Nothobranchius furzeri: one gene and its partners. The main gene of each other region encodes a partner of the protein of the gene in region 3 in a complex. Links are inferred from orthologs where the notes say so. Each region holds a gene or a part of one and is shown on either strand. Other genes may lie near its edges. The genes, in order: pigg, pigo and pigf.

Region 1 (10,317 bases), on a different chromosome or scaffold from region 3:
TTTAAAGCTCATATTTTAAAAATGGTCTTCCTTTCTTTCTTTTGGAGCTTGTTTCTGTAGTTTTTTTTACGAAGATTTTGTAATCTTCTCAGAGTCTCATGACGAAAAAGTTTAAAAACATTTATTTTTTATTTGTAGGTGTGTTGGACCTTTTGTTTCATATTAAAGTAGTAAAAGCCAAGTAAAGTCATTTAAAAATCAAAAATAAGAATAAAAGAAAGGGTGTTTATTTAAAATGGTTAAGTAAAAACAAACCAACCGCTCATATTCTATCTTATAACAACAAAATTGTAGTCAACTAAAACATCCATCCATCCATTTTCCTCTGCTTATCCGGAGTCGGGTCACGTGGGCAGCAGTAAGAAGAGAGGCCCAGATTTCCTTGTCCCCAGCCACTTGGGCCAGCTCCTCCAGGAGAATCCCAAGGCGCTTCCTGGCCAGCCATGAGACATAGTCCCTCCAGCGTGTCCTGGGTCTTCCTTTAGGGCTCTTCCTGGTTGGACGTGCCCAGAAAAGCGTCCAGGAGGCATCCTGACCAGATGCCCGAGCCACCTCAATTGGCTCCTCTGGATGTGGAGGAGCAGCTGGTCTACTCCGAGCCCCTCCTGGATGAGCGAGCTTCTCACCCTATCTCTAAGAAAGAGCCAAGCCACCCTGCGGAGAAAACTTATTTCAGCTGCTTGTATCCGCGATCTCGTTCTATTGGTCACTACCCAAAGCTCATGACCATAGGTTAGGGTAGGAATGTAGATTAACCGGTAAATCGAGAGCTTAGGCATCTCGTTCAGCTCTCTCTTCACCACGACAGAGCGGTACAACGCCCGCATCACTGCAGACGCAGCACCAATTCAACTGTCGATCTCATGCTCCATTTTTCCCCCACTCGTGAACAAGACCCCAAGATACTTCAACCTCTACTTGAGGCAAAACCTGGAGAAAGCATTTTACCCTTTTTCTGACTGAAGACAATGGTCTCAGATTTAGCGGAGCTGATTCTCTGTCATTTGAGGCCCTTTCTAAAATCATTACTGTAAAAATTATTTTTGATCTTTACATTACTTGCCTCAAGTGGAGGTTGAAGTATCAAAAAGAGCACACGTCACCCCTCTGTTCATTGAGCTCCACTGGCTACCGCTAGCAGCACGCATCAAATTCAAATTGCTAACACTAGCATACAAAGTCCGAGACGGTACGGCTCCCATCTACCTGAATCCTCTTGCAAAGGCTTACGTCTCGGCCCGGCCGCTCCGGTCATCACAGGATGGTCGGCTAGCGGTGCCTACACCACGCTCAGGACTATCCAGACTCTTCTCATGCATCGTTCCACAAATGTGGAATGACCTTCCAAGCACTACCAGAACAGGAGCTTCCTTTTCAATTTTCAAGAAACTCCTGAAGACCCTGCTCTTCAGAGAGCATCTTCTAAACTAGCACCCTCCCTGCACCTGCCCCCCCCCCCCCCTCTCTACTGTCCTCTCCTTGTTCCCTCCTCTCCATGACTGATGTCAAGTTGTTGTTATTGTTGTTGTTGTTAGCCTCAAGGGCAACATGCCAATTATCACTAGTAAGTCGCTTTGGACAAAAGCGTCTGCTAAATACATAAACATAAACATAAACTAGACGACACACTAATCCACTTCATATCTATCATTCCATTCATATCTTGTCATGTATAATCGTTAGTTTTGGGAAAAGAAATAAATTCATTTTATAAACTATATACTGACTCTGTCTGAATTAATACGAAGTGTGTTTATGGTCCCTGAATACGTAAAGTAACTATAATCTTCTGATTAACATTGGAAGATCAATCAGATTGATATTTCATATTTATATGGAATTATCACATCTTATTGGTCATCTCAATAAATATGTAGTAAATCCTCAACACTGATAATAATGGAGGCATACGTTTTTAATGCACTTCCTACCCTGCTGTTGTGTGTTGCCCTCATTCTACCATTTCTCGGGTTTAGTCTCTTGAAGGGGGGAGGGATGCTCGTCATTTTTTAAGAATTGCAAAGTCACTAATGATGTTTATTACAGCATTGGCCCATTTTATTAATTGCATTAGTTTTTAATTGAACATTGGTTTCCTAAATCAAAAATATAAACTTGTAGAGCTCATTTTATAGTGAAAAAAATGTGCTGAAGTGAAATGTTTAGTTTCGATAATCTGGCCACAGGGGGTGGTGGCGGTCTGAGTGACCTTTCATTAACCCTGTAAAGGGTCATTTATGCACATACTGAATCAAGAAAGTCACCATGTTCAGATTAAAAATATGAAAAAGTTGCATCGTATCCCTTTAAACTGTCCTGATCGTCTTTTGTATTTGTAAGGGAAAATCTATTCTCCAGTCGTCTAGTCCCACAGCGAGCTCACTGCTGTAACCTGCAGGTAGTGTATGTAACGACTCAGCCCCTCCCCGTCATTGAGATAAACATGGGCCATGACGCATGTCTGTGTGCTGCAGTAGAATGCTGCTGAAATTGGCCGAACTTTATCTGAACCAACTTCACAGTCAATCAAACCATTTACAAACAAGTGTGCAGCTGGAAAATCTCCAGTGTGTAGAATGGGATGGACTCATCCGTAAGAGACAAGCTGCAGCTGATGAGACAACTCATGGTCAGTCTGAGCAGGAAATGGCTGTTTTATACTAAATAGTAATGTGGTGGATAATCAGATGAAAAGGTAATTCTGTCCACCATAACAAGCAGCCTGTAAACAAACAGTGTGAACAGATAATAAATCAGCTGAGTCATGTTTCTGTTTATAGTCTTTCTGACCAGATCTGGCTTAAGTGGTTGGAATCAGGATGTTCTGTTAGGAAGTTCATGGGTCATTTAATTGATGTCACTGGATGTGTTTTTCAATTATAAACAGAGTGGTTTGAATTACCTGCAATATTTAATAAATCTACTTATCCCTCTGGCAACTGTGATGGCAAAGTACAGAGGTGTGTGTATGTGCAAGTACGTGAGTAGTAGAAGGTAAGGAGGTGAGTAGGAACGAGTTCCTCAGACTCTACCCAAAAATACAACATGGCAAGAAATTATGGTTTCACTTCCAATTTAGTCAACACAAGGCCTGGGGCGATAACAGATTTTGCTGGACGATATATTGTCCAACAAATTATTGACGATAAACGATATTATTGTCGACATTATCGAGACCAAAATAACCACTTATGTAATGTTAATATATCATAATAATGAAAGTACACACTTTAAAATGCAACAATAAAATCTTTATTTAACATTGGAATGTCCAGAACCAGAACTTCCAAGTAATTAAATAAAACAAACAAAAAAAATCAATAAATAAAAAAGGACTTTCAGTCTCTGTTAGAAAACATTGCAGCAAAAACAATAAAATAGAACCTGTCTGTCCAAAAAATAATAATAAATAAACAATGGCCTATCCAGTGTCAACAACCAAAACTGCACTTCAATAATGATAATAAATATTAATAATAGAATTGCACATTTTTTTACCTCGATATATTGAGGATTTTATTTATAAAGCACTTTACAAGCAAAAGTGCGACTCCAAATCTTTTACAGATTTAAAATGACCCCAAATTCCTGTAACAGTTTAAAAGCATCAACAGTCTCACACACACACACACACACACACACACACACACACACACACACACACACACACACACTCAGACACACACACAATAACGTCAGTAAAAATAATATTTAGCTGAGTCCAGATGAGCCAAGTAAGGTAAGGCAAGGAAACGCCATCAGAGGAGCCATCTGCCCCGGCACCATCAGGTCAGTCACAGCAACCAAGTCAGTGCGCCCAGAGGAGGGAGGCCATAGACCCCCACCACCACTCAAGCAATACCTCTAGAGCGCCCAGGCAGCATTACTTGACCGCCGCCCTGGGGCAGAGGGCCCCCACAAAGGAAGCACTGGATTAAAATGAGTTAAAATATAAAAATAAAAGAGCAAAATAAATGATAAAAGTAAGAACATAAATAATACATAAAAATCATATGGAGAGTAAAATATTATTATAATTAAACAATGAAACAATGCTTGAATATCATCATGTAAAACGTGCTCAGCAAGTAATAAAATATAATCATCCAAAATGAGAAATAAAACTATAGTCAATAATTAGTTAAAAGCTAATCTAAGCGCAGTGGACGTGAGGGTTCATATGGTAAAAGCAATTCTGAGAGATAAAAAGGCCCAAGACCATTAAGACACTTAAAAACCATTAAAAGAACCTTACAATCGATCCTGAAACATACAGGGAGCCAATGCGGTGATTCTGAAACTGGTGTAACGTGCTCCCACCTCCTAGTCTGCGTCAGGGCACGTGCTGCCGAATTTTGTAGAAGTTGTAAACCTGAGATGCTCTTTTTGGGAAAATCAGAAAGCAGGGCATTACAGTAGTCAATTCTACTGGTGATACAAGCATCAGTGTCTCGTGTTGGCCACAGAGAGAATGGGCGGACTCTGGCGATGTTCTTTAGATGATTAAAACCTTAATTTTCATCTATCGTACGATTAATTGATTTATTGATTATCGTCCCAGCCCTAGACAAAACTAAAAGTGGTAAAATGGTAAATGGCTTGTATTTGGTATAGCGCCTTCTAGAGTCCTATAACCCCCCAAGGTGCTTTACAACACAGTCATTCACCCATTCACATGCTGGTGGTGATGAGCTAAGATGTAGCCACAGCTGCCTTGGGGCGCACTGACAGAGGCGAGGCTGCCAAGCACTGGCGCCACCGGTCTCTCTGACCACCACCAGCAGGCAGGGGGGGTTAAGTGTCTTGCCCAAGGACACAACAACAGCAACAAACTGAGCAGGGCTCGAACCTGCAACTTTCCAATTACAGGGCGAGTACTTAACTCCTGTGCCACCATACAGAGTTTTGTTACCAAGCCCTGTGGAACATTAGTTAAGGTTTATTGTGTTGTGTTTGTCGTTGCACTAGTAGCTTGCAACGTTCACCACTAGGATTGAGTCTTGGCTGAAAGAAAACCAAAGTTGTACCCATTTCTACTTAGCACTGGTTTTACGTGTGAACAAGTGATTGTTAAACTTTGTGCAGTGTAGATCTAACGCTGTTGAGATTTTTGTGTTTTATTGCTGTCTAGAAAACCTCAACCAGAGAATCAGAAATAGTTATACACTCTAATTCAACTAGTTTGTACTATTGTACTATGATGTATTAGCCTGGCTAACCATCCTGTGTATGTAGTGAGACTTGAACTGGAGGCTGAAATGCTCCCTTGGATACTTCTGATCATATAAGAGCACACAGACCTGCGCTGTTCCACTCGGGGGTAACGAAGCATCAGATGCCCACCTGGCTTCTATATTTGCCCAGATAGCAGTCTGACGGAATTCATTAGAATCCGTCTCCAAAGAGACCCTGTCCTTCGGTCCACAAGAACCCAAAAGTTTATTTTAAAGGTCTTCCGACGTTCATACATTAGGCTTTGAATGGATTAAAACTTTTATTTGAATCAAAACGACAGTTTGGTTGTATTTTCTTTCCATTTTCCTTTGAATAATAAGTCTCATTGTCCTGTTTCCTTCTCCTTCCACCCTCTCCTCTGAAGAACACCGGTGGTGATTGGTCACTCTCAGAGTTGGACGTCTTGCTGCTGGCAGGAACCATCGGTCACACGCTCAGCTTGGCGGCGAGTAGTTTTGTGGAAGAGGAGCATCAGACCTGGTACTTCCTCCTCAACACACTCTGCCTCGCAGTCTTTCAGGACGTCTGCCGAAAATACTTCAGAGAGCAGCGGGGCTTTGGAGAGGAAGAGGAGCTTTTCCTCCCTTCCAAGGACAGCCATCCGTCTTCTCATCACAAATCTGAAGTGAGCTCAGAGAAGTGGCTGGCTCTGGCCACGCCCCCGTTCACTCTGGTGTGTTGCAGACTGCTGCGTTCCCTCAACCAAACCGGAGTTCAGTGGGCTCATCTTCCAGATGTTGGACACTGGCTGAACAGGTTAGCAATATCAATATTACTGTGTTTTCACGTGTCCTTTCTGTTTAGACAGGTAGAGCGGGTTGTCCAGTAATCGGAAGGTTGAAGGTTCGATCCCAGCTTTGATCAGAGAATGCTGCTGTTGTGTCTTTGAGCAAGACACTTAACCCACTTCGCCTGCTGGTGGTGGTCACTAACAGAAAAGTGACTTTTCATAGTCTAAATGTTTGCGTACCTTATAAAAAGTTCTGTTTTGGTAGCATCATTTCTTGCAAGTTTCATTTTACTTGCCAGAGAAATCATGATGTCTTCCTAGGAGTTGGAGGTTTAAGTAGGAGCCTGGTGATGTCGTGGTTACTCTCATGTCAGAGTGAGTGGTATCAGCAAGCACAGGTCCTTGAGACCTGCACACAGAGACTCGAAAACAAATTTCTCACCAAAACATTTTGAATGTTTGTGTGTGAGAAACTCGTCAGCATCATACAGAACTAAAGCTTGGTTTATGCTTGACACATTCACTTTCCGCGCGGTGATGCGGCTCGCGGATGGAACGCGCTTCACAACTCGCAGCGTTTATGGTTCATGCGGCTCGTCTCTGCGGTGAGCCAATATTCTCCCAAACTGTAGGGGGCAGCATGGAGCTCTACAGGATGCATCCAACACTACACCATAGTAGAAGTAGAAATTACTGTTTACAACACGGCATTCCAGCATTTTTAACAGCGTCCTCGTCTTTTCCGACAGTGCGAGCTATTTCTCTCCAAGAATTATTAACAACATGTTGATCACGGTGATCTCTGAGAGCTGAATCATACAAATGTCTGTATTTACCAACCTCTGCCGTGCTAGTTCTTGCCGGTCCGCCATGTTTTTCCGCGTCCGTCCGTCCGCGTGGTTAAAAATTTTCCAAGGTGCGCGTTGCGGAAATTCTGGGCCGTGCGGAGACGCGGTGGAGGGGTGTGGTTGTTAAAATGACGCAACTTTTCCTTGCGGAGCCGTGCGGACCTCGCGGACGCGTCAAGCATAAACAACCTTAATTCTGTAGACGGGCCCCTTTCCAAGCCCCTACATGGCTTTTGTTTCAGAAACTGTCCGGACCTGTTTTGTGTGAATCTGGATACATCCAGAGGGCTGTCAAATATCTTTATTTTTGAGTATTTGGTGAGCAAATAGCCACTTCATTGACTGACTTGAGACGTGATGATGCATAATAAACAGTTGGATGTAAAACACAAGGTGTATGATTTGGTTGTAACCACATTTTAAAAGTTTAAATCGCTGTCTGCTGATGCTGAAACATTTCACATTTGTTTCTCTGAGCAGCAGACAGGAGCCCCCACTTAACATTTCAACAATGGAATGAAGCCGTCTGATTGCTCAGACTGTAGGAAAACTGATTTCTCACAAAAACCGGAACTCTTCCGCAGCCATTAATATTCCGACAGCAGCACAGGGCTGGGGATTTTGGTTTGTTCTTGAACATGTATCACATTGTGGAATAGAGATGTGGATTCTGACCTTTTCTTGGACCAGCGTTGCCCTTTCTTCCCGCCTGCTCTGCCTGCTGCTTGGGTAATGAGATCCAGGTAGCCTTGTGCCTCGCCGTGTCTTCAAGTTTCCGATGACTGCCTGATCCCACTAATGGCTAAACGCACAGCTTCTGCTCAACTTTGATGCGTCCTTTGTGGTCTCATTATTTCCTGTCCAAAATGTCTTACCGTAAACAATTTAAAATCTGTCCTTTTCTAGACATAATGGACAGGCACGGTTTCATCTCAGTGAATGGTCGGCTTAGTAAACACCCCTCTTTTGTTTTGAATGAAGATGATGATGATGATGATGATGGTGATGATGATGAATTATTGCACATCCTGTGTTTATTTATTGAATCCGGTGACAATGGTGTGTACAACATTTTTGATAAGCGCATAAATTTAATGTTAACGAGCAAGCCACTCCCAAATCATAAACTATATAAATGAGTGTCTGACCGTGCTGCAGACTCGTGAAGTCAATAATTTGGCACTTTAGTGCATCTTAGTTAAAATTTAAATGTTCTGCCTAAATCTGTCAGTGTTGCACCCTCTTTAGGTAAAAACTCTGCACTGCATTTGAATTTAAATCTGCCACTGGTACACTATGACATTAGCTGGTACATTATGATGTCACAATGTCATTGTGAGCCTGTGTGTGTATTTGTTAGCAGCTCCGCCCTCTGAGTCTACCAGGCAACAGCATTTGTTGCATTTTAGAAACAGGAAGTGGGAGTGGAGTAAGACTCTGGTAGGGGGTGACTTGCTCTTTAAAAATGTACAACGCATACTTTATTTATTTTTTTATCAACTTATAATTCTTGTCTGTTGTCTTTTCTTGCAGCTCTGATCACAAGACGGTGCTCTCGCTGCTGTCTGCTTTCTGTTTGGTTCTGATCTACCTCCTGGTTCAAAGACGATGTTCACTAGTCTCCAAGTTCGCCCTGGCCCTTGGACTTCTGGGTGTCTACAGCTACCGGGCAGCTGTTGGCAATGTCTTGTTTCCCTGGCAACAATCCACTCGAACTACGTCCAAGTAAGTTGTGCGAAGCACCGGAACTTGATTTCACTCGCTGCAACAGCGGGTCAAGACTCGGTCTCTCGACAGTGAAGTGATTTAAAGTGTGGTGGTGCTCTGTGATGTAAATGAGCACATGGGCTGTAATGTGTGTGTCATCTGGGACAAACACCAAGACCAAATAATTAACTTTGATGATAAGCTGCTCAACAGTTCATTATTTTTTCTTTTCTCCACGCCTACCTGCAGTAAATCTCCAGTGTCTTATAAAAGTGACGCAGTTTTAAATATAAATGATTACACTGAAAAGGGGCATCACACCGGCTGACTGTTGATTTAAACCAATAGGAAATGCCTCACCATTGACAGCTTTTTATTCCGACTAATCTTTTCGTCTAAGCCCAGTTTCTTCTCTCTGATGGATGTGAAGTTACATCCTTGCAACATAGCAGGAAGCTGCTTGGTTAGAGCTGAGGGTTGGAGCAGCGTTGTAGCACACCATCCAATCTAGTCTAGGTATACATTTTTCTGTTTTCCTGCCAGAATACTAAATCGCTAGAAGTATTGGGACAGTGCAGCAAATCAATGCATTCAAGGACTGCATTGGAGGTGTGGACCAAAATGTACATCTAAATGATTTAAGCTGCATTCAAATATACAATAAATCCCTTGAAGGTGAAGTGTGTGAAAATAAAGATGACATCATCTGGTCAAATTTGCTAACTGCAAGCTACCTCTCACTCCTGTTTGGTGAGATTCATGGCTGTAGGCAGTTACGCATCAGCACCAGAAGATTAGAGGTGACAAGCAAAGATGAGTCATACGCAGTAAGTTTATAAGTAGTTGTGATATCTGGTGTAGGCCCTATTGGGTGCTTTTACGGAAGAGAGCACTTACTCATCTTACTATGGTATTATGCCTCCGGTGTGTTTACCGTCAGGTAGGGTTGTCACGGTGTGAACGGTGTGGCCAAAATTGTCACGGTTTTTGCTCCTATCTGATTTTTTTTTAATGTGTTATATTTCCAGACAACTAAATAAACCGTCTGTCAGGAAAATATTGTCCTCAGTTTGCGTTTAAATTTTGTTTTGTAATTATGTGTTTTATTTGTTTAACTTTAAAATACCAAAATTTGCCCTTAGCATTTAATTTTTTTTGTCTATTTGAGGTCATCATTTAAAAAATATGAGATCAGATGATACTCAGTACTCAAGTGGCCTTCTAATCAATTACCTTTTCATCCTTGCTAGAGTGATTTCTTGGAGAGCCCCATCTATGGATCAGGGGCTTTCAGACATTTTTTTCTTGCACGTGCTGGCAACAGGATAGCCGTCTTCCATCGGCAGTCCCTCGGAATTCTTCAAATATCCAAAATATGCCCTTATTTTTTTTTTCTTCTTCTTTCTTTTGGGGGGGGGAGCTGGCTCCTTGGAGGGCTTTAGTCCAACCAGCCATTCCTCCCTGTCCCCACACGTTACTCCTCCTGCTCCCTCACATCATCACACAAACATGCACATAGGACCTTGGGGGGGGGTGGGCAAGTCAGGGAGTGCGGGTATGGACCCCATTTCCGCATTCCTGTGGCAACCTGCCCCCCAATTTTATTTGCACCTTAAACACTTCCACTGACGACATTCCACACAAACACACACTTAGGGCCTTGGGAGTGAGCACATTCAATGGCATTCGGCAGGGGGATATTTCAGCCTCATCCCGAGTGCCGGTGCCCACTTCCAATTTTAAACTGCACTTAGACACCGAGGGCTGAGGGCGCAAGTGGGGTGGTGCGGTGGCATC
Region 2 (10,794 bases), on a different chromosome or scaffold from region 3:
ACTCAGGACACTCAACTATCTTCCTGCATCTACTTCTGGTAGCCCCGCCCCCAGACATATGTGAGCAATCAGAAGGCTGAATGTGACTCATTATGTTATGTTTGTTGTTTTCCCTGTGTGAAAAAACAAAACCACAAGAAAAAGCTACATTTAGGAACAGAATGGGACCAGAGGAGCTGGACTGGTGTGGAAACATCTCGCCTAAATTATTTTTTACATGCTAAAACAAAATTAAATCTACTCTTATAAAACACAAGGGTGGTATCAATCATTTCCTGACTGTGTGCAGGTTGAGGCGGAGCGTAAAAAGAGAGCCACGGTGCTGGAGTCTGAAGGGACAAGAGAGGCAGCCATTAATGTCGCCGAGGGTCGTAAGCAGGCCCAGATCCTGGCCTCCGAGGGAGAAAAAGCAGAACAGATCAATAAAGCAGCTGGTACTTAGAGTCCTCTTGGTCAGCTAAATTATTTAAACTATCCACACATTTCCACCGGGGCTCTATATGTAATGGATAATTGTGTTCCATCCAGGTGAGGCCCAAGCTGTTTTAGCTAAAGCTGAGGCAAAAGCAAAGGCCATCCGCATGCTGTCCGACGCTCTGGCTGAGCAAGTGAGTTTCTCCTTTTCTTTAATGTGACAGTGACTCCAGCTAAAGGCATTTTGTGGTGAATTTTGTTTTATTTTCTGTTGCACAGAATGGAAATGCAGCTGCGTCTCTGAGTGTGGCTGAACAGTACGTGTCTGCGTTCTCCAATCTGGCCAAAAGCTCAAACACCATCCTGCTGCCGTCGAACACGGGGGACATTAGTGGAATGGTCTCACAGGTGTGTGTGTGTGTGTGTGTGTGTGTGTGTGTGTGTGTGTGTGTGTGTGTGTGTGTGTGTGTGTGTGTGTGTGTGTGTGTGTGTGTGTTTTTTCAAAGCTCTGTGCATGAAGTACAAGCCACTGTGACTTCAATGTGTTCTCAACTTGTTCCCTTTCAGGCCATGACTATTTACAGCACGCTGGCCAAGACGAACCCAACAACATCTCCAGAAGTGGTGGAGAAGAAAATGCCGGATGTTCTAGACCAGCTGATTCCACCTGAAGAGGAGAGGACTCAGCAAATGAACTCAGAACATTAAATAACAAAGAACGGAGCCAGATGAAGCAGCTGAAGTCAAACGTTCTGATGGAATATTCAGGAAAAGCTTCAACCTTTACAAAGTCTGTGTGGTGGTGGTGTCCTGGACTAATCACGTTTTCATAGAGGATCCTCCCTGATCCTCCTCCTTCAGTTATGATTGGATTCTAAAGTTAAGAGCAGCCTTCAGAAAACTGATGGAAGTGTCGTCTCAGTTATGAATGCAACTTTTCCATGCTTTATTTTAGTACTGCAAACATTTCTCTTCCAAAAGATTTACATGAAATATAACACTGTCTACCTGTTTCTCCAGTTATTGTGTTTTAAAAAGCTGTTCTAGTTTCTATGGGATTTTAGTTGGAATGGTAGCTCAGATGAGCTGTTTGATTAAGAAAAAATAAATAAATATATATATAAATACATCTTTATTCTTTTTTTGCACTGAAATGTGTTTTACCTTTCAGCCTCTGTGGGACCAGGCTTTGAGCTCAACGCCACGTAGAAAGCTTATAAAGTCTGAATATTTATTATTTGGTCCATATTATGTTAAATCCAAACAGTTACAATGTATTTGTTCTGAGATAAGCTGATGCTAAAGTTTTTTTTTTTTACAATGAAATCAGTCAAATACCTCAGCTTGGAAGAGAAGAAGCAGATACAGCGATAACTGAATACTTTATAATCAGTGTATTTACTGAGTATAAAACACTTGGCAATTTGTGTAATTTACCCTCTAATGCACATGTGCCAGACACAAGGCCCGTGAGATAAATATCAAAAATATATTAAAGCTGGCCGGTTTTACAGCAAAGATTACAACTCCCATGATGCTTTGCTGTGTTAGCGTGGAGCTGAAGCGCCCCCTACTGTATGATTTTTCCGGTGTCTGCAGCTCCGCTGTCTCCGACAAACTAAACACTCCTCTCACTCAGTGCCGAGTTAACTCCGCTATTTGCCGATGTTGAAGCCCAGAGACGGAGATTTTAACCGCTCAGTAATGTGTTCACAACTGAAAGAAAAAGTTTTTCCAACTTGACAGAGCTGATATAACTCCAGCGAGCTGCGACAAGCTCAAATCAGCATGACTCTGTGACTGCTGTAGTTTTTATTTTTCCTCCCCGACACACATCAACGTGGTAAAGCTGCTGAGATGTTCTCCATGTTCACCAGCACAAACCTTTGTGAGCGCCTGTTGTCATCTAATGTTGTCATTACTATGATGAAAATGAACAAAACAACAGGAGTCTCCTCAGCTCAGATCAACCCCATGATGCAGGTAACTGGCTGGAACAGGTGAGCATCACAGTAAAACAGTGGAGCAAACTGAGCTCTAAATATTTTGGTTTTATGCTCTATTTCTGCTCCTAAACATGAAAGTTAACAGTTGAGATATTTCATTTTGATTTAAGATAAAATTATATTTTTATTTTGTTGTTGGCCAATCACAGGCGTAGATTTGGCATGGACGGAAGTGACATGTCCCTACCAATATCCAGTGATGACTAAATAGTCCGCACCAATAATATGACTGCCTCCGCTAAAAAAAACTGTCAAATGTCTCACGGGCCGCCCGTGAGAAAATATTTAACCTACAGTAAAACAGGAGTGGGAAAGTAGATGAACAGAATAGAAAATCCCTTTATTGTTCCTCAGTGGTAGATGTCACAGCAGCGATGGCACTTATTACAGGAGAAAAAAGGAGAATAAAAAAATAAGAAAAATGAATAAACAACAAGAAAACATAAATCCTGAATAGATTTAAAAAATGCTGAATGTACCACAAGTAATGAATACCACTGATGTGTTTTATTTAAAATTGACTTGCTCGTGTTTAATTTGGTTATTCCACATTCAGTGTTATTGCAAAATATGTTTGTTTCCAAATTAAAAGGTTCAAAATTGCATATATGTTGATAAAGAAAATGTGCAAAATTGACGTCACTTTTTCAAAAAATATTAACTTCGGCCCGTGACTTCGTCCCAGATTTTCATTTCGGCCCAGTGTGAATTTGAGTTTGACATCAAATGGATAAAATACGGAATAAAAATATGAAGTGATTTAAACTTTTTTTTAATAAAATGCCATTTAGAATCACAACCAACTTCACATCAATGCACGAGTTTAAAAAAATATTTAACAAATACATGGAGAAATACGTTTTATCATTCGTTTGATGTCTGCTTGGGTTCAAACCGCAGGAGGTTATAGCCCCAGCAAAGATGCCCTAACAATTTGCTCCCTAGTAACCTCCACCGGTGGTAGCCAAGGTGGTCCCTGACCAGCCTGGACATGTGTCCTCATTAGACAAGTATTTCTGTCAAATTGTTAAGACAAGATTGATGTCTAGAATTCCACTGCTCTCTGTATATTTGTAGTTATGTTGAACAACTGTTGCAATGTATATGGTCAATGACAATTTATAGCACATTGAAAACCCAAGATGACCGAAGCGCTTAAAAAATTATATATATATATATATATATATATATATATATAATTTTTATTGTGTGTGTAAAAACTGCCATGTCGTTTGTTTTATTGATTCTTTTTGGTTTATTTTCCACTTTAGGCTATTTTAACCCTTTCATGTATGAATTATGAAATCTTCAACCATGATTTTTTAACTATTTTTTTCCATTCATCTTTAGGTGTGAATGAAACAAATTTCAACAAATATTTTTGGAACATTTAATAATTTACACATAATTTATTACATGTCCACCTCAGTGGACAGCGTCCATTCTGAACATGAAATATGTTGACTTGACTTACTGAAGTCCAACTGGAGGGGCTCAATCCAAAAAGTCTTCAACAGCTGTGCTTAATAGCAAAAATAACAATTTTGAGTACCTGTCCGCTGAAGTGACCATTATGCATCAACGGGTTAAAATGTTTAACCCGAGTCCTCAAAAGAAGACACCCTCGGGTGTTACTGAAAAAGCAGTCCTCCGTGAATTTCCGCCGGGTTCCCTGCACGCTAGAGTTCCTACCTGTAATCTCGCTGTACCAGAAACAGTGAAGGACAATGTGTCTCTCCGTTCGCCGTCTACCTGAGATACCCGTACCACCTTGTTGTTGTTGTTAACACACACATTCACCTCCGGCCGAGAGAGGACGGAACCTCATCCGCTACAAGGTCAGTCCAAAGCGAGGCGAGCTAGCCTTGCTAACGTTAGCCACCTGATTATCGACAGTTTATTTTGCGTTACATTCACATTTCTCAGAACCTGGTTTGTAGTTGTTGCTAAAGTGCATTTACTTTTTTCACGTGAAGCAAAGCTAACTTCCGCTCTAACTTCTATCACCTGCCGGTTTAGGATGAAGGGAACGCGAGTGCTGTCCCTGCTCCTTTGGCTGTGTCTGATGTACTTCGTGGGCATCTACCTGTTCGTGGGCGGCTTCTTGCTGGTGAGGATGGAGGTGAACAGGACCAGCACCTGCGGGGACATACTCGAGCCTGGGGATGGGTCTGGGGACTTCTGCGGCTCCCAGCCGCGTTTCCGCAGGGCTGTCCTCATCATCATCGACGCCCTAAAGATCGACTTCGCCCGGTTTGACCCCAGTAACACGGCGCCGCGACCTTATGAGAACAAGATACCTGTGCTGGAGGAGACCCTCTCTTCTAGGCCTCTCCAAAGCCGTTTGTACACCTTCCGAGCAGACCCACCCACCACCACAATGCAGAGAATCAAGGGCTTCACCACCGGATCCTTGCCGACCTTTGTGGATGTGGGAAATAACTTTGCATCCAGCGCAATCTTGGAGGACAATCTTATCCAACAGTTTGGGAAAACTGGTGAGATTCGTTTTTTTTTTCCTTGCTTTTTACCAAACATCACAACACTATATTTACTGTGTCTTTGTGAAACGTGTCGGACCTCTCACAGGCAAACGAGTGGTGTTCATGGGCGATGACACTTGGGAGAGTCTGTTTCCCAAGAAGTTCCACCGCTCCCTGCCTTTTCCTTCTTTCAATGTCAAGGATCTGCACACAGTGGACAACGGGATACTGCAGCACCTCTACACAACTAGTATGTATTTACCACCAGAGCTTCACTTTCCACAGGTATTCAATGCCTCTATCATGCTTAATTTCTGTTCGCGCACTTGTTTATGTTGGTTTGAAACAGTGATGGGTGACGACTGGGATGTCCTGGTTGCCCATTTTCTCGGGGTAGATCACTGTGGTCACAGGTTTGGCCCTGACCACCCAGCCATGGCTGATAAGCTCACCCAGATGGACAGTGTCATCAGGTCAGATGATTAGTACAACAGGCTTTGATTTAGACAAAGACATGTTTATTCAGACAGTCCTACTAAGGGATAGACTCAGAAAATTCGCTGCTGCTTAAAATGAAGTATTTGGCTGGAATGTTTTTTTTTTTTTGTTAATAAAAATTGCTTTTAGAATAAATTAATGATGAAATTGCAGCAACTTCTGCTGATGCAGTTCCCCTAAAACTTAAACAATAACAACATGAGTAGAAATGAGAAATATAAACAAATACGTCTCGCAAAGTTATAAAAACAAGCTTAAGATGTAAACTAGCTGCTATGTGAGTGAGGATCTATTCATTTAACATGTCATCCATACATCTTCTCTCCTTTGTTTGCTTGGTGCTCATTCGTGCCCTCTGTCCAGGTCTGTGATCGACCGCCTGCAGAATGACACCCTCTTGGTGTTGATGGGAGATCACGGGATGACCGACACTGGAGATCACGGAGGGGAAAGTCAGAAGGAGACTGATGCTACCCTCTTTCTTTACAGTCCTTCCCCTATCTTCCCAGCACCACTGTCTCAGGTAGGTGTAGAAATTATGCTTTTTTTGGGTCAGTTTTAACCCAAAACTATCAAAGCAGGTCAAAAGGTCAAAAAAGGGTTAATCTTGACAACATATTAGAGACTATTATATAAATTATGACTGTGTTATGCAGGTTTATAAAAAAAATAAATCCGTTTAACTGCTTTGATGTATAAGTGCAGACAAGCATACTGAGAGTTCGCTGTAGAATATGTGAAGGCATGGCAGCTTTATTTGTATAGCACATGTCAGACACAGAGGCGATTCAATGTGCTTTTCAAGAACAGCATGAACATGAAAATCAACGTGACCGTGAGCAGGTCCAGTGCAGAAGGTGCAGCATAAACATTAATTTAACGACTGATGAAAATATGAATGTTTTCAATTTTGATTTAAAAGTTTTTAGAGTTTGGTCACATATGAGGTCACTAGGAAGCTGATTCCTTCTTTTTATAGCATAGCAGCTAAAAGCAGCTTCACCCTGTTTGGTTCTGACCCGAGGTTCTACCAGCTGATCGCTTCCTAAGGATCTCAGAGCCCTGCTGGGCGTTCATACATGAAGGATATCCATCATGCCCTTTTCTTTAGTTCTTTGTTGTACACAGAGTGATAAGAGTTTGTTACCTTTGCTGACATGTTTCTATGTTCACTGTCGCCTTTGTCAGAACAACTGCTGGATTTTGATGGCGTCACTTCCTTTTAGTTGTGGGATGAAGTGACGCCATCAACATCCGGTGGTTGCTCTGATGAAGGCGTTGGTAAAACACTGAAACATGTCAGCAAAGGTAACAACAAACCCTGAAAGTACTTTGAAATAGATTGTGTAGTTTACTGGTAACCAGTGTAGAGATTTAAGAACAGGAGTGATGTGCTCGGTTCTCTTGGTTCTTGTTAAGACTCTAGCAGCAGCGTTCTGAATAAGCTGCAGTTGCTTCACAGCTTTTTTGGGAAGACCAGAACAAAAGACCATGAAGATTTAACTTAAAACTCAGTCAGGACTTAATGGGATGTTTTTGGCCTTTTAAAGGTTATTTTTATGAGAAAGTTCATTTCTACCCAGTTAGTTCATAGCTTTTCTTTGTTTCATGTATTTAGATATTTGTCTAGTATTTTTAAACTTTTATTTACATTCATTTTTTTTTCTACAAGTTTCCCTGATATTTTCTTAAAGTGTAAAACTAATTAGATTTTCCGCTAACTGTAAGAAAAAAAATTCTATTTTTATTAATTTCTTGTTTGGAACCTCCCTTTTCTCTCGGCTGCACATTGATATGAGACATTGTTCAGATATAACCATGCTTTGTTGTGATTTGACAGACGGAACCAGATGTGGTTCCACAGACTGACCTGGTGCCCACCCTGGCTCTGCTGCTGGGGGTTCCCATCCCCTACAGCAGTGTGGGGCAGGTCCTCCTCCCATTATTCTCTCCACATGGGCAGACAGGAAGTGCAGTTGGGGGTCTCAGCCAGCTGGAGGCGCTGTGGATCAATGCAAAACAGGTAGTTTAGGTAGAAAAAAGCTTACTTTATAAATCTTGAAGTCCCCAAACAGAGAAGATCCCTTTTGTTCTCCTCACTTAAAGACAAATTAACTGTTGTGTTTTGTTTGTTTTTCCTCTTTCTCTTCTGTTTCTAAAGGTTAACCGTTTCCTGGAGACATACTCCAGCATGGCCAAAGATATCCCACCAGAAAGCCTCTCCCAGCTGCAGCAGGAATTTTCCCGCCTGTCCTCTGAGTACCTCCTCACAGCTAGAGAGAGCCGATTGCCCTCCTCTCACCTGGTCTCTGCTCTGCAGGCCTACCTCACCTCCGTCAGAGACATCTGCCGAGCCACCTGGGCTCGATTCAATCCGGTCAAGATGGCGGCAGGTTTAGTCCTCCTGGCGTCTGTCTGCCTCGTGTGTTTCTTGATGTCAGAACTCTCCCCGGCACTGATGAGGGAAAAAACTGCTGGACTGCTGGCTCCGCTTGTTGTTGCGCTCGCTGTGGGGGCTTGTGCTGCAGCTGCCCAGCTGCTCACACGGGGCTACGTGGAGACAGCATGGTGCCTAGCGGCTGGTGCCTTCAGCTCTGAAATTCTCTTCTTCTGGAGAGTGTGTAGACTCAGCCCCCCCGCCGTGACAAAGAACGGAGCTAAAGCCTCTAAGCTCTCCAGGTGGCTGGTCCTGCGTCGCCTCCTCACTCCTCCTCTCATGGTGCCGCTCCTCCGATGTGCCTCCCTGCTCTCAGACAGTTACGTGATTGCTGAAGGCCGTGTCATAACCTTTCTAGTGCTCTCTCTGGTCATCTACATTCCTATTCATCTCAACTGGAATGGCTTACTTCTGCCCCCAAGTCCCGATCCTCTGAAGTCTGCTGGGCTGCTGCCGTCCCCAGCCTTGTCACCATCAATAGTGAGGAAAGAGAGTGGGATCCTCTTAGCTTGCCTTGGAGTTCTCATTGGCAGCATGTACCTCTCCCTCTCCTTCCATGGGTGCAGAGAAGAGCAGGGCTTTTGCCAGCCGTCGCCGTTCCTGTCTCCTCTGTCACGGTTGCAGGACAGCCAGCTGAAGAATCTGTACTACATCCTCTCTGTCATCTCTCTCGGTGTGTTTGCGTATCTGCTGAGACACTGCCTGTGCCACTATGGTAATCTGAACTCCTCGGGTGGCGCGGTGTTCACGGCTCGCTGGATCCTTCCCCTGCTCTCGGTTTGCCTGGCACTCCACTGGGCGGTTAGCGCCACTCCAGAGGACAGCTTTAGGAAGCTGTCCGAGCTGATCCGGCTGGCCCAGCTGGCCCTGCCGAGGGCGGCCTTCTGTCTCCTGGGACTCGGGCTGTGTCTCATCTGGCTTGACCCTCTTACTGTGTTTGTGAAGGCCCGGGCTACTTCTTCATCCAGAAGTTCAGCCCCTGCTCTGCCTCGCTACAGAGCGAGCACTGGCATCAGCCCCCAAGCTGAGCTGCGCCACCTGATCCCTCAGATTTACCATCGCATGCGACGTTCCCTGGAAGATGGAGAGCTCAGCGGAGGCATTGAGGCAGACAACAGGCCCACTGTGGAGGCCTACGGACTGGGAACCGTCTACTCTGCCCCTGTGCTGCTGTTCTGGGGAATGCTGGGAGTTGGACTATTGCTGTTGCACCCAGAGGGCATGGCTCTGTCTTTCCTCCTGCTTCTGCTAGAAATGGGCGCTCTGCTGCACATTCACGCCTCCTCCGTAAATCTTAGTGGTGCACACGGAGCTTCTACGGGTACAGTCTCACCTAAACACTTAGTTTTTAATTCACAGCACTGCCCATTGGTAAAAAAAAAAAAAATCTGCTCTCCTCTGTCTGACTGTGTCCCCTAGGTGGTTTTACCGTGCCCTGGGCTCCAATAGTGGTCTGGTCTCTCGCTGCTACCCAGTTCTTCCATGCCACCGGTCACCTACCCACCTTTCCCTCCATCCAGTGGGGTGCTGCCTTTGTGGGGTTTCCTGACGGACACACAGGCACCTTTTTACCTGCATTGCTGGTTTCCCTCAACACCTTTGCTTCACACATCCTATTTGCAGGTAATCCTATAAAAAGTCATGTAAAATTGTAAGAAAATTGACCAAAGTATTCCAGCAAGCATTATTTTTGTCCTCAGTGGGGTGTCCATTGCTGCTGCTGTGGCCCTTGGTGCGTGAGGTGCGTGGGAGCAGAGGTGGGAGAGCTTGTGGGGAAGAAGGTGAGGATGCCGTCATGGAGATGAGACTGAGAGAAAACCCAGAGCAGTTCAGCTCCGCTCTTCTGCAGCTGTCGGCACGCTACCTCTTCATCCATGGAGTGCAGGTTTGTTCCCAGGCAGCGAAGACAAATTTAAAGGTGCAATTTGTAAGAAGTCTACTGGGGCGGGGGGTTGTAGCCGTGGCGCTGGAGTTTCAGCCGTGGCACAGCCTATATTTCTCTATATGTGTATATTTTTTAGTAAATATCCAGCATGACATCACACCTTTAAGTGTCTCAACTCTCTTCACAGGTCTTTTCTTCAGTCTGTGCTGCTGCTATTCTCCGGAGACACCTAATGGTGTGGAAGGTTTTTGCACCCAAGTAAGTGCCTGAATTGCTTTTCCATCTCATATAAACTCATCAGCAGCACTTGGCTCCTCAGAGTTGGAGTATAGCGTGACTTATTATGTGTACATCTCAGCTCTGGGATCTTGTTGAGATCATTCAAACATCCCAGTGTCCCCTTCTGTCCTTCCAGGTTGATGTTTGAAGCGTTGGGGTTCCTGGTAAGCAGCACCGTCCTGCTGATTGGAGTCACGTTAGTGCTGAGAGTGGACATGGCGGTGAGCCGCTGGTTTAAAAGACTCATCCCAGATGCAGCCAGGTAGCGACGGTGCTACCGCTGGAATCCACCAGAGCTCACTGTGCCAGGCAAACAAAAAAACAGACGTGTGTGACTGGGGCCCTTTTTACAAAAGGAGAAACGATAAAACAGGATTGCCATGGATCATGAGGATCCTCAAGCTTCTTGAGGGACTCTGAAGGGCTTCAGAACAAGTGCTGAGGCCTTTGATTAAGAGTTTTGGATTAAACTGTCTCATAAAAAGTGAGCCAAGCCTTTTCAAGGCCAGCGTTGCATGAGTTATGTGTGGTTGAGTAAACGGCTTTTAACGAATATCTTCTGTTCTTTTCTAACTTATGAAATTCTTACCCAAGCCAATTGGTTTTGCATGTAGCTAACTGTGCAAAAGTCAGAACACTTCTAGGGTAAGCTGTGCCAGTCTTGGAAATGCCCGATACAGACGTACTTGTTACAATTTAAAAATTTCCTTTAAAGTCAAATTGGTCACATTTTCCATGTTTAAGCAGTTTTCCCATTTTACAATTGAGGCATATGATCAACACACCAATGGA
Region 3 (11,005 bases):
TAGGCACAGCCGTGGTGTGGAGTGTGTCAAGTTTGGTGGCAGGAGAATCTCGTCTCTGCTTTTTGCGGATGATGTGGTCCTCCTAGCTTCATCCAGCTCTGACCTTCAGCTCTTGCTGGGTAGGTTCGCAGCCGAGTGTGAAGCGGCTGGGATGAGGATCAGCACCTCCAAATCTGAGACCATGGTTCTTGACCGAGAAAGGGTGGCTTGCCAACTCCGGGTCGGGAGAGAGGTCCTACCTCAAGTGGAGGAGTTTAAGTATCTCGGGGTCTTGTTCATGAGTGAGGGTAGGAGGGATCGGGAGATCGACAGACGGATTGGTTCGGCATCTGCAGTGATGCGGACGCTGAGCTGATCTGTTGTGGTGAAGAGAAAGGTGAGCCAGAAAGCCAGCCTCTTGATTTACCGGTCGACCTACGTCCCAATCCTCACCTATGGTCATGAGCTTTGGGTAATGACCGAAAGAACGAGATCGTGGATACAAGCGGCCGAAATGAGTTTCCTCCGTAGGGTGGCCGGGCTCAGCCTTAGAGATAGGGTGAGGAGCGCGGACATTCGGGAGGGACTCGGAGTAGAACCGCTGCTCCTCCGGATCAAAAGGAGTCAGTTGAGGTGCTTTGGGCATCTGGTCAGGATGCCCCCTGGACGCCTCCCTGGGGAGGTGTTTCGGGCATGTCCTGCCGGCAGGAGGCCCCCGGGTCGACCCAGGACACGTTGGAGAGGTTGCATCTCCAATCTGGTCCGGGAACGCCTTGGGGTCCTACCGGAGGAGCTGGTGGAGGTGGCTGGGGAGAGGACGGTCTGGAGCTCCCTAGTTGGGATGCTGCCCCCGCGACCCGGACCCGGATAAGCGGAGGAAGACGACGACGAGTCATCCAACAAAAGCCATGGCATTATAAGATAAATCCAGTCCCTGTTCATGTTTAATTAAGGAATGGTTTATTCATGTCAAAAAAACACAAGTTCAGCCTGCACAGGTACAAAACAACCTCTCGTGTTGTTACAAAATCCCTTACAGACTCAAAACACTGCAAACGCTCTCCAATAAATAATCAGTAAAAAGTTATAACAGACCTAAAGGAACACATTCAGACAAACGCAGACAGGAGGTCATGTGTCTGTCTGTCACTTGCACTTGTATGTGAGCTGTTTGCGATGATAGTGGATCCAGGCGGGAGCAGAAACAAGCCCGGTCAGGTAGCCAATCATAGCGCCAAGGCTGCAGGAAACTGGCCAGACCTGCAAGAAAGGACGGCACGTTTACTGGCACCCAGTGTGATGAAACACCTCAATACAGATGTGAAGGATCCTTATGAGCATGCCCTGACTGGAGCTGTGTTATTTTAAATAAAAGGCTCTTTTTCTTAAGTTACAGCACATAGAACATAGTCTCCATAACAACCACTTCAATCTGCCTGTTGTACAATAATTATAAGAAATTTAAAGAAAGTAGAGCGAAAGCATCAAAGATGTTACAAAAGAAACACCTTATTAGGTTCACCTGTCCAATTGATTGTTTACACACACACACACACACACACACACACACACACACACACACACACACACACACACACACACACACACACACCCACACACACACACACACACACACACACACACACACAATCAGCTAATCACAAGGCAACAACTCATTAAACACGGAACTAAGAATTGGTAAAGATGACTTGCTTAATGTTTTTTCAACACATTTGCAGTGGTCTCAAGTATAAACGAGTGTGAGTCGATCTCTTTGGGAAAAAGCTCTGGCGCTCCTGTTTTAGGAAGTAGAAGTGAGCCGTAGCAGAGGAGGAGCAGAAGAAGACAGATTTGGAGTCTTATATCAGACATCTCGCCTCTGATTGGCTAACAGCAACGTGACTCTACCATTGACTTTGTTTGATTTGCAACGTTAATGTTTTATCTCAACAAATAACGCAAGCCTGAAGAAGTTCTGCCATGTAATGAAGTTGCTAATGCTAACGGTTAGCTTCTACTAGCCGAGACATGCTCTGCTCTCTCCTGGATGCTAAACCAAAAACACACTTCTCTGTAGTGAGCAATGGTTTCTCAGTGAACTTGGTCTTTCAGATCAAACTGACCATCAGAATGAGGAGAAAGGAGATTTAAGTGACTTAGAAGGTGACATGATAGTTGGTGCCAGACTGGCTGGTCTGAGTGTTTCAGAAACTGCTGATCTCCTGGGAATTTCACCTACAACCATCTCTAGGGTTTATATAAAGTGAGTTGAGAAAAGTGAAAATATCCAGTGAGCAGCAATCGTGTAGATGCAAATGTGTTGTCGTCAGAGGAGAATGGTCAGACTGGTTGGAGATGATGGAAAGAAAACAGCAGCTCAAAAGTCCACTGGTTCCAATCAGAGTCTTGTTGTTGACCACAGTGGACCCATCTGCTTCCAGCAGGATAACGCAGCATGTCACAAAGCTCAGATCAGCTCTAGTTCCAACAATATTTTCATTTCATGCAAAGAGCAACAACATATTTTCTGGATGCTGATACTGCACTTATTGGGGTCATAACATTTTCAGTATGTCTTTTTATTTGTGTTGCAAGCCCTTAAACACACTCAATATTTAAAATAACACTTGCAAATTGGATCACACATCAGCGTGATTCAGATTCCCTTCTCATCAGTAACTAAATGAGAAAAAGCAAAAACTCAAGAACATTTTTAAAAGGAAAGTTAAGACTCATGTTGATTTTGCAAAGATAAAATAAAGGGAATTGTTTAAAAAAATTGTATTTAAGAAAGTTTGATCTCAAATTAAAAAAATAAAATTAAAATAAAAGCTCAATCATGTACATGTGGGTTTTCTATGCGAGCTGCTGACCTGCCAGGGCCTGTCCCAGTCCAAAGGAATTGGAAATGCTCCAACCCAGGCTCCTATCAGGGTGCAGGCCACTGTGATCTGCAGGCAGGTGTCCCACACTGACATGGCTCTGAGGACAGGGACAGATCAAGAGTAAAGTGTGGGAATGGGATGGAAAGATGATGACAGGAGAGTTTTGGCTTACCCATGCCGACTGAACACTCGTATCCAGGTCTGAACGTTAGGGCCAAGAACACAGAGGCACCTCAGCGTGGTCAGTGAGGTCAGGAGGACAGAAAGTGAAAATGTCTCTAAAGCAGATCTAAAAAGTATAAAGTTAAACACAAGCTGTGTCAGCTAAGTAAAACCGAAGAAGAGAAGCACTGCTGTAGATAAATCTAGAGTGAAAACAAGCTCTAAATACACTGTTTAACAATGTGTGTGTGTGTGTGTTACTTGAGCAGAATCAGCTACTCACTCTATCAATGGAGCTCCATAGAGAACCACCACCGTGTAGAAGAACAAACACGACAGGAAGAAGTACAAACAGGAGCGAGACAGCCTGGACAGCTGAGGACAGAAAGACATGATCGGATTAAAAACTAAATGTTTTGGGATGAAAACTAAAATCTTAGAGCATTTGAGAATGTGAATGTGAGGGATGGGTTCAAAAAATATGTGACCAACAATAAATTATAGAGAAGTTGATCATTTAAGCATGTAAAGAAGCACATCTTGCAAAATATAAAGATTATTTATTTGTCAATTCAACACACGTTAAACATGAGGTTCATTATTACAGCCTAAAACGTAGTAACTACAGTAGTAAAAAACATTTATAGCAAAATAATATCAAAATAGTAGTAAAATATAACAAGTCATAATAAACAAAGTGAAATAATTAATATTGTGTAAAAAAATACATTTCCTAACTTACAACTTTGGTTTGATATACTAAGATGTTTTAATGAAATAGTAACAGCTTCTAAATCCAAGACCATGCTCTTGAGTAGCCTTCTCCGGGTCAGGGATGAGGTCCCGCCTCAAGTGGAGGAGTTTAAGTATTTCGAGGTCTTTTTCACGAGTGAGGGAAAGCTGGAGCGTGAGATCGATAGGCGGATTGGTGCTACGTCTGCAGTGCAGCGGGCGTTGTACCGATCTGTCGTGGTGGAGAGAGCTGAGCTGGAAGGCGAGTTTACCAGTCGATCTACGTTCCTCCCCTCATCTATGGTCACGGGATTTGGGTAGTGACCGAAAGAACGAGATCACATATACAAGCGGCTGAAATGAGTTTTCTCCACTGGGGATCGGGTGAGAAGCTCGGTCATCCAGGAGGGGTTCGGAGTTAGACCAGCTGCTCCTCCACATCGAGACAAACCAGTTGAGGTGGCTTGGGCATCTAGTTAGGATGTCTCATGGACGCCTCCTGGTGAGGTTTACTGGGCACTTCAAACTGGGAGGAGACCCAAAAGAAGATCCAGGACACGCTGGAGGGTCTCTTGGATGGCCAGGGAACGCCTTTGGATTCTGCTCCTTCCAGATTTCTTTGTTTTCACCTTTTTGTCACGCCAAAATGTTTCAGATCAGCAAACACATTTTCAATATCGGACAAAGATAACCTGGGAAATTAAATGTTTAATTTATTAACAAAAATAGTCTAAACCAACCTGGAAACGCACTGTCCAAAATGGAATAATTTGCTACAAGTCTTAAGGATTATTCTTTTTTTAACAAATGTGAGAGGGTCCTTTATGTTCTTCTTTGTCAGCTGAGGTCGTCATCATAGGACTCTCACATGGAGGCCATTTTTGTTTCCCATCTCTTTTTATTATTAAATCCTGAAGTCTGACCTCGACATTAACCAAGTGAGACCTGATGTGTTGCTTCTTGAGATTTTTTTGCCTGCTTTATGAGACATGTTCTCTGAAGTCATTTCTAGAAGAGGCAAATGAACAAAACGTAATTCACGATTTAACAAAGGTGGAGGTACTTCCTTTGTTTCTTTGTACGCTTTGAGGTGACTTATGTTGTGAACTGGCGCTTTATGAAAAAATTAAATTTATTTGCCTCAAAGCAAGAATGCTGCAGGTTCGAATCCTGCCTGCATGGCCTTTCTGCGTGGAGTTAGGATGTTCTCCCCATGCTTGTGTGGCCCTTCTCCAGTAACTTGCTTCCTCCCATGGACCAGACACATCCATGAAAAGGGTTCAATAATGACTCTAAATAGTCTCTAGGTGGGAGAGTGTATGTTTGAATGGTTGTTTGTCCTTCTATATGACTGGAGACCTGTCCAGAATGTCCCCTAGCTCTCATCTGATGATGATTAGCGCTAAAGATGAGCCGTTTAGATCATGGATGAACCGAATTAAAATGAAATGAAACTCGGATGGTTTTGTTAGCTCTCTTCCCTTCATAAAGGACATAATCCTTTGAAAACTGCATTTAGTTTAGTTTACTCAAGTTCTCTTTGCCTGATGTTGAAATTTGTTTGATCTGAACCATTTAAGTGGGACAAAAAATTAAACAAATAATATATGAAATGTGTTAAGAGACAATTACTTTTTTCACACCTAAATAAAATAGATCATAACAAGAAACGCTTACAATTTCTACTTTTTCATCACCTCACCTTACAATATCCAAAACTTACCTTCATTTTCACACATCTATTAAATTTAATTAAAAAGCAAGTTGACTGATGTCCATTTCCCTGTCCAAATAATAATAATATTAATAATAACAAACGAATACATTTTGTAAAATTCATAAGATACCTTCACATATCACATAATACATTTATATGTCGAACATAATCAACAATTCACTTTAAAAACATTATCTAGTTGTTTTGGCACCTTGTATCCCAGTGTGTGCTTTTTGGTGGGCGGTGAGATGCCGAGCAGCCAGAAGATAGCGACGCTGACACAGGTCACCGTACCGGACACCGCGTAGACCCACAGCAGGTGAGTCCCATACACTGAGAAGCCCGGGACAAACACCGCGGGGATGACCGTGGCCATGAACACCGAGGCGGTGATAATCGCGTGAGTAGACGCCATAGCTTTAATTTCATGGTCCCACATGATGAAGACGTGAACTATTTACAACAAGAACCCGATAACGATGCGGGGAAGTCAAATAAAACACCTAAAAAACGTAAGGTAACATTGGGAAACTGTCAGGTCTATGTATTTCTTTTCCGCGTTTCCGTAAACACGAAGACGTAAGAACGTCCGCTTAATTTCACAGTAAAAGTCTACTGCGCACAGACATCTTAGGTGAATGATGAAAAAACATCCGTTTCGAAACATATTATCATAGATTATCGGGTCAGTTTATTTCAATTTCAAGTGAAAAAGGTGTATGTTTTACTTGTTACTCAATCTCTGCTAATGAATACGCTTGGGTTAAATAAGGTAAAAGTGCTTGACTTTATCAAACATTTATTTTGAAGAACCTATAAGCAAATAAACGGGAAGTAGTAAGTTATAGTTCGCGTTGCGTAACTCAATTGTTTTAACCAATCACAGAAGATGTTACTCGTTAAAGCAACCAATGAAACCTGTCATTTGAAATGCCTCAGCTGACCGGACGTTTACATTAGCAAAGCAAGCTAAAGCTAACAAACGATCATTTCTACTGCGTCATTCGACACACCGCAAAGATGGTCTGTGAAAAGTGTATGTATGTCATTTGCTTCTGATTTTCAGACGTATTGTTCATTTTAAAATCTGATGAACGTTACTTTTGTCAGCGAAAGTCTCAAATGCAAACTAGAAGGCCAATAGTTTAGTTCTTATTGTATTTTCCTCCATAATTGTTTTGTTTTATATTTTAGGCGAGAAGAAACTGGGAAAAGTAATTACCCCCGACACTTGGAAGGACGGAGCACGGAATACAACAGGTGACCCGAGGAATGCGTAGTGAAATGTTTTTTTGCCATCAGTATGATAAATTGCTGTTTGTTAATTATTCTAGATATGAGACTTGTTGTCTTGTTTACAAGTTACTTTTGAAAATGTAATCATTGTTTCTATATTTTTTCACGTTACTAGCAGGTTTAGTCCTCATTTGGTTGATCACGCCATAATATAAATTAATTGGTGTTTATTTTTTTTATATTAGTATAGGTATAGTAACATTTAGATGTCCGTGTTTAACAAGTTTGTCTTCTTTCTTTGTGTCAGAGAGTGGAGGACGTAAGCTAAATGAGAACAAGATTTTGACATCCAAAAAAGCCAGGTGAGTAAAAACAATTTATAGAAAAAAATAAACTTTAATTACAACAATCTAATGAATGTAAATACAAATATGAGAAGTCAGAGAAAATATTCTAAACGCATTAATATACTTATCTTAAAATTACCTTCTTGAAATTGAACCAAAAACTGTTATTTTACTAAAGTTCAACCTTATCATATAAAACTTTCTCACCACCATATTTGCTTGGGCATACATTTTGCTGCATTGGCACAAATCACCACATGAATCATCATTAATCATCTGTCCTTAGTATTTTACTTTATGAACCACGTTTAAATCCTGATCTTCTTCATTTCTTGCAATCATAACAGTTGATTTTTACATCATAGCTGGAACACACTCTTAAGTAACTGTTGCAAACCTGCTCTGAAGAGTAAAAGACCATCAAATCTTCAGCAGTCATGAGATGATTGGTCATTATTTCCCCATTCATCCACTCTTATGCTCTCTTAGTTAAATAAAACTTAGATCGTCCATATACAAGTTAAAGGGAATAGGTGACAATATCTGGTGAACCTTATTAGTAACAGAAAAGGAGTAGCTCTCATTTGGTTTTTAGTCTGATTGTAAGATTTGTATAGAATATGAGGTGACACCTTGTTCTTAAATCTTCCTAAAAAGCCCATCATAATGAACTCTTATCTGAACTATTCCTCAGAAGAAGTCACACAACGGTTTAGCTACTGTTTTTCAATGTTGTATATTACTAATTCAAAGTGGTCAGCTGATATAACTGGTCATGTGTGTAACAATTATTTTCATCAGGTTTGACCCTTACAGCAAGACTGGCTTCGCAATCTGCAGGATCTGCAAAAGCTCAGTTCATCAGGCTGGATCTCACTACTGCCAGGGCTGCGCTTACAAGAAAGGTATGAAGTGATTGTGCTGAAGATTTAGTTTTGTGTCACAAAAACGCTACAGCATTTCTATTAGCCCTTTTACATAAAACACACACACACATGCTCTCTATTCAACACCCTGCTGAGTTTTTCACATGTAATCATGTCACCAACAACATTATCCTTTTCCTCTGAGACAAATCCATCTGCATCCTATAGGAAAACGTGACAGTAACTGGGACGAGTTGTGAAACTGCAATGTTTGTCTGTTGTTGAACAATTCAACTTGTGACTTTTCTGCTCAGATGTTTTCATTTTTCAGTGTGTCTTAGTGTCAGAATCCGGAGAAAATTACAGCCTCACATCAACAGAGACTGTACTTGCATAATCTAGAGCCATTCTCGATAGGTTTGTTTGAATACAGTGTGTTTGTACTGTATTTAGGCTGAATGATGAAATGTAAACAGGGCTTTATCTAAAAAGGCATATCTTGATGAACATTGAAGCAAACTGTCTTAGTTGCAGGAAATGAAAGAGTGGAGTGGCCATGTTTCAGATGGTTCATCAAACATGGAAGATGCTCAGTGAAACAAATCATCTTTATAGTTTGCTGAAGTTTTCTTTTTTATTATAATGATTTCAAGGCCTACGTGTCCCATTGAACCTGCTGCCTTTGGTATGTCTTCATGATGATGCCTAGGTAGACTCACAATTAGGAATAGGGCTGCACGATATTAGAAAAACCTGCGATATTCGATAACAGTGTTTAATATTGCGATATCGATATTACTCACGATAAATGAACAAATACTAAAGTATGCAGTGTTGATGTCGTCTGGCGTGTGACGTCTGCTCTGGGTTCAAAGCAAACAAAACTAATGCATGAATTCCATTACAACATAACATTTTTATTGCAAAAATATGCAGCTGCACCTGCTACTGTATTAGTAGCAAAACAATAAACTGCATGCATGCAGTTTCTCAGTGACTTTAAAACATCACCTCCACCATAAAACTTTTTCTGATGCTCCAAATGCAGAAAAACATCCCTTACCAGGGTTTTTGAATAAATAAAAAAATATCAGAAAATAAGTTTAAATGTTAAATAATAGTTAACATCACTTAAATGGAACAGCAAATTCTCTCATTGCTACTGAGCATTTTCTCCACTTATGTGGTTATGATATAAGGCTGTTGCTGCTATTGGGAAGTGAACTGTGCTGGGCCAAACTAGGAGAATATTAAGATTTTCTGAGGGAAAGAGAAAAACAATTGTCTACCTTTCAGAAGAGGAACTGGCAAAAAACTACATGGAAAATATGTGAAAACGTTTGTTTTTAACCCCAAATTGAACAAGTTTACCTAGATCTTAAAATGCAGCTCAGATGATGAAACTGCAACTATGATTCTGATAACAAGCTAACAAATTGAACTAAGATAACTGGCTAGCAAAGCTTCTGATTGACAGTTTATGTGCAGCAGCAAATCAACTATCCTGATTAACAAGGTTATAAAAGCTCATAAATGAAAAATCACTTTGATGTGTGGGGGAACTTTTCCAGGCCCTTTTTAGCAGGGTGGGACTGGGAGGAGAGTGCTGTTGCCTTTTAGCTGGAAGCTAACCGGCGCCTGGGGCTAACATCACCACCCGGTGGAATAGTGAGAGAATGGCCCTGTATAAGTATGCAGACGACATGGCACTGGTGGCATCAGTCGGAGGACCTGTCTAAATATCAGCAGGCGGTCAGCAATCTGGTCCAGACATTTGAAGACTTTCACCTGGGGCTGAATATCTCAAAAACTAAAGAAATGTGCTGTGGGGCAGCCAGTGAGGCAGACACATCCCTGTTCAAACCCCTCAGCATACAGGGTCAGCCTGTGGAGCAGGTTCAGTCATTCAGGTATCTGGGAACAGAAATTGATGACCACCTGTCCTTTGCAAATCACAGCAACAGTGTCTACAAGAAAGCGCTGCAAAGACTCCACCTGCTAAGGAAGCTAAGAGCACTCAATGTGAACAAGGACATCCTAACAATTGTATACAAATAACTGATTGAATCCATTCTAACTTTAAATATTACAGCTTGGTATAACTTTCTTGCAGTTAATAACAAAACACAACTCTCTCGCATTGTTAAACTAGGCAGCAAAATTACAGGCTCACCTCAGATCCCACTTTCTGTTCTTCACGAGCGAGCAGTGCACAGGAAGGCAACCCTGATCAGTGCAGACTCAACCCATCCATTGAACCCACATTTTCAGCTACTTCCATCAGGAAGGAGGCACAGAGTTCCATTGGCCAAGAAAGGTGTCTATAAGAAATCATTTGTTCCCACCGCAATTACAATTTTGAAGTCTTAAAATTTTTTTTTTTTACGATAACATTTTAATACCTTTTAATTGTCTTTTATATATTTGTGTGAATGCGATATGGATTGTATTGTAAGGTGAGCCATGTCAAAGGCGAATTTCTGCCTCAATTCGAGGTGGACAATGAAGTTTATCTATCTAACACTAGCGATATGGAGGTAGGTGGGTTGGTTCACCGGCACGTGTCAGCCCGGTTACTATCAGCTGCTTAACAACACCGTGCGGACTCACGTTTGAAAGCAGCGCTGATTCCAGAAACCTCAGCACAAAGTGCGTTCGTTAATCTGAGCCAGCATGACGAACAAGGGAACGGCGCCGCTAACTCAGTTTGGGTGTTGCGTTCCACCCTTCCTAAGGGTCTATATAGGGGGCGGGCGTATTACGTGAACGGACCCATCTGATTGGCCGCATATCAGAAGGGCTACATTTGATTGGTCAAATAAAACTTCCGTGTAAAAAACAGAGCTGGTTTACAAAAAGTTGATGTATGACACAGATGGAAATGTTTGAACCAAACATTTATCGCTGTTTTTGACGTGCTTTGCGATGGGCCTATCGCACGTCCTGTTATCCCGATGACGATAAGTTTTCGATATATTGTGCAGCCCTAATTGGGAATTATGAAACTCATCATTTTTACTCCACTCTACATAATTCTTAGTGGAATGCATGGCTGTGCAGTTGGTTGCACTGTTGCTTTGC

Evidence for each region.
Region 1: pigf (region 3) and pigg share a complex: the UniProt entries of both Homo sapiens proteins name them as parts of the ethanolamine phosphate transferase 2 complex. The link is inferred for Nothobranchius furzeri from reciprocal best matches to the Homo sapiens genes PIGF and PIGG.
Region 2: pigf (region 3) and pigo share a complex: the UniProt entries of both Homo sapiens proteins name them as parts of the ethanolamine phosphate transferase 3 complex. The link is inferred for Nothobranchius furzeri from reciprocal best matches to the Homo sapiens genes PIGF and PIGO.

The regions. Positions count from the first base shown.
Region 1 is NC_091741.1:29,979,956-29,990,272, reverse strand, and holds part of pigg (GPI ethanolamine phosphate transferase 2), read left to right. Parts: intron 1-5,599; coding exon 5,600-5,991; intron 5,992-8,346; coding exon 8,347-8,538; intron 8,539-10,317.
Region 2 is NC_091746.1:43,301,505-43,312,298, reverse strand, and holds pigo (GPI ethanolamine phosphate transferase 3), read left to right. Parts: upstream 1-4,091; 5' UTR 4,092-4,258; intron 4,259-4,439; 5' UTR 4,440-4,440; coding exon 4,441-4,918; intron 4,919-5,009; coding exon 5,010-5,153; intron 5,154-5,252; coding exon 5,253-5,376; intron 5,377-5,764; coding exon 5,765-5,924; intron 5,925-7,241; coding exon 7,242-7,424; intron 7,425-7,562; coding exon 7,563-9,159; intron 9,160-9,257; coding exon 9,258-9,461; intron 9,462-9,538; coding exon 9,539-9,723; intron 9,724-9,910; coding exon 9,911-9,981; intron 9,982-10,138; coding exon 10,139-10,268; 3' UTR 10,269-10,436; downstream 10,437-10,794. Other genes in the region: stoml2 (stomatin-like protein 2, mitochondrial), read left to right, coding at 290-434, 529-608, 694-822, 982-1,122.
Region 3 is NC_091756.1:43,770,738-43,781,742, reverse strand, and holds pigf (phosphatidylinositol-glycan biosynthesis class F protein), read right to left. Parts: upstream 6,052-11,005; 5' UTR 5,915-6,051; coding exon 5,687-5,914; intron 3,402-5,686; coding exon 3,310-3,401; intron 3,154-3,309; coding exon 3,037-3,153; intron 2,962-3,036; coding exon 2,853-2,961; intron 1,240-2,852; coding exon 1,126-1,239; 3' UTR 917-1,125; downstream 1-916. Other genes in the region: cript (cysteine-rich PDZ-binding protein), read left to right, coding at 6,496-6,511, 6,670-6,735, 7,019-7,073, 7,860-7,963.